Linked DNA regions of Caenorhabditis elegans. The protein of the gene in region 1 interacts with the protein of each later gene in a pairwise test. Each region holds a gene or a part of one and is shown in the gene's direction. Other genes may lie near its edges.

What was found.
Region 2: the proteins of cpn-3 (region 1) and F23C8.13 interact in a two-hybrid assay, tested with the Caenorhabditis elegans proteins (one large-scale study listed by BioGRID).

Annotation. Positions count from the first base shown.
Region 1 is NC_003279.8:3,985,885-3,989,467, forward strand, and holds cpn-3 (Calponin-homology (CH) domain-containing protein), read left to right. Parts: upstream 1-2,055; 5' UTR 2,056-2,093; coding exon 2,094-2,144; intron 2,145-2,191; coding exon 2,192-2,328; intron 2,329-2,377; coding exon 2,378-2,582; intron 2,583-2,634; coding exon 2,635-2,670; 3' UTR 2,671-2,815; downstream 2,816-3,583. Other genes in the region: aars-2 (Alanine--tRNA ligase, cytoplasmic), read left to right, coding at 1-273, 327-500.
Region 2 is NC_003279.8:2,413,127-2,417,049, forward strand, and holds the start of F23C8.13 (PDZ domain-containing protein), read left to right. Parts: upstream 1-2,004; 5' UTR 2,005-2,006; coding exon 2,007-2,153; intron 2,154-2,715; coding exon 2,716-2,823; intron 2,824-3,923.

The DNA of each region.
Region 1 (3,583 bases):
TCTATCCGTGAAAAGGCAAAGGCCATTCAGAAGACTTTGGATGGATACACAAAGGCACAACAAGCCGCTGTCGCTGAAAAGGTTCTTGGAGAAGCCAAGGAACTTGCTGCTGTCGCTGAGCAGCCTACTGTTCTCGTTCACGTCTTCGCCGCCAATGCTAACAGCAAAGCCATCGATAATGCTCTGAAACTTCTCAAGGACACAAAAGCAGTTATGGCTTTCTCTGTGAATGAAGATTCTGGAAAAGTTTTGTGTCTTGCTAAAGTTGATAAGGTGAGAAATTTGAAATTTTGAAACAATTCAGAAAAATAATATAATTTTTTCAGAGCTTGGTGAGCAACGGCCTGAAAGCCAACGAGTGGGTGAATGAAGTTTGCACAGTTCTCGGTGGAAAAGGTGGTGGAAAGGACGCAAATGCTCAGCTCACCGGAGAGAATGTCGATAAACTTGATGCTGCCGTCGAACTCGCCCAGAAATTTGCCCTTGCTGCAATCAATTAATTTCCCCAATTTTCAATCTATTTCCTGTTTTTCATATCGCTTCCTTTCCTCTATTTATTGTTGTCTGTTGCATTCTAGTTCATTGCTCTCCCTCCCCGTCATTATATTTATTTCGTATTTCTATTTTATGTTTCAATTTGTTTGCTGGTTTGTCGAGGTTTCAAAATGTTTATGCAGTAAATAGAGGCCAAACTTTTTCCCATTTCACGAAAACAACAATTTTGAGTGGGTTGGACGCGACAGCTGGACAGCTGCTCAACTCGCGGATCAACAACACCTCGATCGATTTCAAAAAAAAAAGTACCTTCGACTTGTCAGCCAACAAGTTTCGAAAGATTCTGGAGATTTCTGAAAGTGACGTGGCATTACACTTCAGACATCTCTAATTTGTGGCACAGCTATCTGAACATTACAATGGACAAAAATGTGAAGAACAACAAAAGAAACGGAACGGCAATGAATTCCAGATGGCGATGAATGTGTTTTACGGAGGAAAAGAGCAGATTTTTGCAATTTTGCAGATTAGAAAAATGATTTGAGAACAAATTCCAGACATATGCTTAAGAGATAAGTTTCTTGATTCCCGGTCGTGTACTGCTCTGGGACAATCAATTGATAAAAATATTAATATATCTATCCAATATATTCAATTATATATCCAAAAAGATATATCCAATTGAATTCGGGCGATTTTTCGTGTTTTATCATGAATTCTCTTGTTTTTCTAATGAAAATCGATAGTTTTGGACACAAATTTTATAGTTTTTTAGAAAATTATAAAATTTCATTATAAAATACGAAAAATCGCTTAAAACAGCCTTAAATTCAACAATTAGTAAATTAATTTAGTTGTCCGAGAGGAGTACACGGTTTGTCCGAGAGGAGTACACGCTTTGTCCGAGAGGAGTACACGGCCGAGAATCTATGAAATTCATTTCCGCGCGAAATTCGAATTAAAAAGTCTCAGCGGATGATTTCTAGATATTTGAAGGGCTATAACAAACTTTTGAGAGAATTTTGTGATGTTTTGCTTATTCACATGGCCCTGTCAATGCATTGGCTCCATTTTTAAGTCCGGCAAATGGAAAAAGTGGGTTACTGTACAACTTAAAGGCGCACACTATTTTTCGTCGATTATGGACTATTTCGATCGTGGCAAGAGCGGTAACCCTATTTTCGGGAGAAAAACACTGAAAATATTGGAAGACAAGAACTTGGAATTCAAATAATTTCCGGTGTAAATCGTGACGAGACCCTCTTGCGCCTTTGAAGTCTCAGGTCAGACGTTTCAACTTGAATGATAATCTCTGATATTTCAATGAATTTCAAAATATTTCGTTTTACACCGTAGAAACAAGTGACTCAGACCATTGGTCCGTTCGTTTCACCTCTCGCCACCCACCACTTCAAAACACCACGTCAGCAAATCTCTCCCCCGCAAGAGACTCCAGACGCACAATTGGTTCCCCCGAGCCATCTTCCTTCGGGAAGCTCCCCCGGTGTGGGCGGAGCTTGAGCATCTGATAAAAGCAAGGTCCGACGCGAGGAGAAGCTCATTGTCATTCTTTTTTGACTATCCCCCTTCTAAACACCATGGCCAATCGCACCACCGCCGGAGGAATCGGATTCGCTGTCCGCCAAAAGGTTTGGTGAATTTCAGTGATTTTGTTAGGCTATTCTTCATTTTTCAGCAAGACTCCAAGTTCATCGACAAGGAGGCCACTCTTCTTCTCGAATGGATCAAGAAGCTCTCCGGTGAGAACATCTCTACATCCGGAGAACGCGACAACTTCCACAACCTTCTCAAGGACGGAACCCTTCTTTGCAAGTGAGTTTTTGTTACCTAGTATTGTTCAACAAAATCTTAAAATTTTCAGAGCCGCCAACGGAATCGAGGCCGGATCAATCAAGAAGGTGCAAAAGCCGATCTCGACCTTCGCATGCATGGAGAACATCAACGCATTCGTCGAGTTCGCCAAGAAGCAGGGAGTACCAAATGAGGAGACATTCCAGTCTGTGGAGCTCGTCGAAGGACGCGATCTTTTCTCCGTCTGCGTCACTCTTCTCTCGCTCGGCAGAGTTGTAAGTTTATCTAAAATTTGACTTCAAGCTATAAAAATTGTAATATTTTCAGCTCCAAAAGGCCGGAAAGACCAACCCATTCGCCTAAAAACCAACCCATCCAACTCAAGAATTCCAAAAATGGCCAAGCCCTTGCAATGTTTCACCCGATACCTTCTCATATCCTAATAATATGATTTTCTTCTTTTCTTCTTTTTTTGTTGTACAAAACAAAATAAAGTTGTTTGGTCAACAAAGCTCGATTCTTCTCTCTTTTCTGCCTCAAGTCAGTGACTGCTCTGATGGCACGCAGCTGTTCCAAAGATGTGTAACGTTTCTCTGGTTTCTATACGCCGGGATGTGATCTCTAGTGGGCTTCACAGCAAAAACATTAATGGATTATTTGGGGGCGAATGGCGAGCACAGATTTTGCTCCGATGGCGCTCGGCAACTAGTGATAGGTTGAGGTGGTGTTGCAAAGTATGATGACAGTCGGAAGATCATAAGATTGATCATACAACTTGGTAGTTGACAATAAGAATGAAATTTCTTGTGGTTGTAGAGTTGGTAAAACTGCGCGTTCTAAATAAATTTGACGATCTATTACCGATCGAGGTTCAGGCACGGCAGGAAATTTCAATACTGGAACTTTTCGAGTTGTATTGTGCAAAAACACAATTTTCCAAGAAATACCATATTTCTTCTATTACTTTTGCACTGGCTTTAGGACATCTCTGACGTTGAAATTTTTAACTTTGTAGGGTAAAAAATAACTACTGGATAATTAATAAAAAAAACTTTAAATAAATTCTTCATTACGAAAGAAGGAGCCTAACTTTAATGAACATTAAACAACTCACGATGTCTCTATTTAAATATTAAATAGAGCACATCTAAAAGATTTTTTTTAATTGAACGCACTGACTTTGAGTTAATTCAAAAACTTTTTTTCAAATTTAGCTTCATCATTTTTGTTTTAGAGATATCTGCCAAAATAGCAGTAGGCAAGAGTCAGGCATGAA
Region 2 (3,923 bases), 1.6 Mb from region 1:
GAGCCTAAGCCTAAGCCAAAGTCTAAGCCTAAGCCAAAGCCTCAACCTAAGCCTGAGCCCAAGCCGAAGCCTACCCATAAGCCTACGCCTAAGCCTAAGGAGAATTATGAAATATAGATGAAAAAGTTTCAAACTACAGTAATTTTCAAAGGCGCGCACCTACTCACATTTAACAAAAATTAGTCGTGTCGAGACCGTGTAACGTACTTTTGGCGCAAATTTGCGCCGCATCTTTTCAGCACATGTGCCTTTAATTGCATACTGTAGTTTTTGTTTAACTTTGCAATTTCGTTAATTTTTTTGGCATTTCTAGCAGTTACTGTAGCTAAAATGTATTGGTCGTGGTGAGACCTGGGAAAATAAAATAAAAAGTTTTAATTCCTATACACCGCCATTCGTTTCAATTTCGGAAGCACGTATCTCTATTCATTTCCCGCGTTTTTTTTTTCTCATTTTATAGCTAACACCACCATCGTCTCTTCTTGTCTTTCCATTTGTAGCACTCTCCTGGGAGAATGAGCACACGCCAGGGCTCAAGTTCCGCCCATTTTTATTGGTGGTGAGAGCAGTGTTTTGTGGTGGTAGCTCGAGACTTTTTCCACTTTTTGAGAAAAAAAATTCATATGAATAATAATTTCCGATTTTATTTAAGCCTAAATTCTGAGAATGCGTATTGCACAACATATTTGACGCGCAGAATATCTCGTAGCGAAAACTACAGTAATTCTTTAAATGACTACTGTAGGTCGATTTACGGGCTCATTTTTTAATCGATAAAATATTAGAAGAAATCACAAAAATGGCAAAAAATACGAAAACACTAAAGAAAATTGAATAGAAATTCATTTCGAAAATCGAGCCCGTAAATCGGCTTACAGTAGTCATTTAAAGAATTACTGTAGTTTTCGCTACGAGATATTTTTATATTTTGCGCGTCAAATATGTTGTGCAATACGCAGAGATCTCAGAATTTTGAGTTCCCGTAATATAAAAAAAGTAATGCAAATTAAGAATTTCCTAGTCGGCGCATAATTTCGCATTTGCCCGCCCCGTCTCATCTTGCAAGTTGTGTCTCAAATACGCATTCTAATCGTCCTCTTCCGCCCATTTGTCTCTCTTTTTTCATCGTTCTTCCTGCTCCCCCCCAGAGTGACGACGATGTTTCCGTCGTCTGCCACTCAGAAAGAGAAAGACGTTTTTTTTTCTATATTTTTACGAGTTATTTTAATATTTCGAGTTTTTTCTGGGAAAGGGTGCAAGTCTGCCCGTGGCCTAGAAAAAGCGAAAACTCGGCCACCATTTTTAAAAAAAAATTTCTGGAAGTTACCCCTAATCAAAAATGAGTTTTACGAGCACGGCCGAGTTTCTAATTTTCTAGGCCATGTCGCTAAGTGGCCTAGAAAAAGCGAAAACTCGGCCAATGAGTTATCGAGAATGGTATTGAAAAAAGTTCTACCGTGCCGATGTTTTTTTTCTGGACGTGGCTGAGTTTCTAATTTTCTAGGCCACGTAGTTCAAAATTTTCCAAACGGTGTTTCAGGCTCGACTTGTCCACTTCTTGAGAAAGAGAAAAAAATAGGCCTAGGCTTATGCTTAGATTAAGGCTTAGGCTTAGGCTTAGGCTTAGGCTTAAGATTAGGCTTAGGCTCAGACTCAGTCTCAGTCTCAGGCTCAGGCTTGTGTAAGGCTTAGGCTTAGGAGTAGACTTAGGATTAGGCGTAGACTTAGGATTAAGCCTAGGCTAAGACTTAGGCTCAGGCTCAGGCTCAGGCTCAGGCTTAGGCTTGGGTCTAGGCTTAGGCTTCGGCTTAGGCTTAGGATTAGGCATAGTGTTAGGCTTATGTTATTTTCAAGAGAAAACAAATTTTTCACATTAAAAATCTCTGACAAATCAAAAAAAAAACTCGATTTTTTCATGATTTCTTCCAATTTTCTTCCCGCCGAATTGCTCTCAGAGATTCCGATTAGAGCGTATTTGCACCGAAATTCCCAATCCCCAATTCCAGATGCTCACTGCAAATAGGCTTCCACGTTCCGCTTCAGCCTATGAAAATTCTGCAATCTCATATGATGACGAGGAGCCGACGACTACAAAATGCTCCAATGATAATGATGACGTGGAAGATGGAAATATTGAAAAACAAATTCTAGAAGTGAAAAAGCGATTCAAAATTCTGAGATCTCTGCGTATTGCACAACATATTTGACGCGCAAAATATGAAAATATCTCGCACCGAATACTACAGTAATTCTTTAAATGACTACTGTAGTGCTTGTGTCGATTTACGGGCTTGATTTTTGAAATGAATATTCCATTTTCCTTCGTTTTTTCTTTTGTTTTTTTTTCAATTTTTTCAAATAAATGATGCCCGCAAATCGACACCAGTGCTACAGTAGTCATTTAAAGAATTATTGTAGTTTTCGCTACGAGATATTTTTTATTTTGCGCGTCAAATATGTTGCACAATACGCATTCCCAGAATTTTGTGTTCCCGTAATACTGGAAATTCCGGGCGCCTCTTGTTGTGCATTTTTTCTTCTCAGAAGCCATTCCGCATTCTTCATGTAGTCGCCTAAGCTCAGCCAATTCCCAATTCAACAAGGGAATTGAAATGTCAGAAAAATACGAGAATTAAAGATGAGAGACGCTCGCGTTTTTTTTTTGTTTTCTCGCGGAAAATAAAATCGAGGAAATAAATAATAAAAAAATTCTAGATTTCAATCCCACGAGATACAGAGCAGCCAAATGGAATGGCGTTTCGAATGGTTGGGAGCCGGAGTCGAGGGATATTTGTCGATTATATTCATCCGGATTCTCCGCAGGTGTGTTTTGAGGCGTGACCTAGAAAAAGCAAAAACTCGGCCAGCGAAATTCCTTAAATTAATTTTTACTGTCCTTTGAAAGCTGGAAGCTGATAATGTTTCTTAATGGCCGAGTTTTCTTTTTTTTTTCTAGGCCATGCCGAAAATGTCCCCTTGTGATTTTGCTATTAGTGGTCCTGGCACGATCGAAACTTTTTCGCAATTTTCTAAGAAAATTTCGTTGTTTTAAACATTCTTCTTTTAATTGTAGATCAATATATTTCTCGATTTTGGAGCCAAAAAGTTGTTCCGGTCTCGACACGATCACGTGGTTCCAGGCTGTCCCATTGCTGTTTGATCTACAAAAAATGCGGAAATTTTTTGCCTAAAAAAATGTGACGTAAGCACGTGCAAAATCAGTTGAGAACTCTGCGTCTCTTCTCCCGCATTTTTTGTAGATCTACGTAGATCAAGCCGAAATGAGACACTCTGATACCACGTGTACACGACAATTATCGATTATGCACATACAATTTTTCCCCTATTGTGCGCCTCTAAAGAGTACTGTAGTTTCAAACTTTTGTGGGATTTTTATCGATTTTTTTTTATTTAAAAAACTGAATTCAATTTTTAAAATGTTTGTTAAATAAAAATGGATGCGCGCCTTTAAAGAGTACTGTAATTTCAAACTTTCGTTGCTATGAAATTTGCATCGATTTTTTCGTAGTTTTTATGTTTTGTTTTATTTCTTTTTTTAAATAAATAAATATATTTTTATCGAAAAACTACGAAAAATCTATTTAAAAAATTCCATAGCAGCGAAAGTTCGAAATTACAGTACCCTTTAAAGGCGCTCACCCGTTTATATTTAACAAAAAATTTTAAAATCGAATTCAGTAATTTTTTAATTAAAAAAATCGATTTTTAACGAAACACTATGAGAAATCAAAAAAAATCCCACAAAACTTTGAAGCTACAGTACTCTTTAAAGGCGCACAATAGGGGAAAAATTATTATACACATATGTGCATAATCGCGGCAAGACCCAAGAAAAAAGAAGAAGAAAAAGCCAATTTAGTGAGCACTTGAATGAGTAATAGGGCTCGCTCAAGTCCGATGAG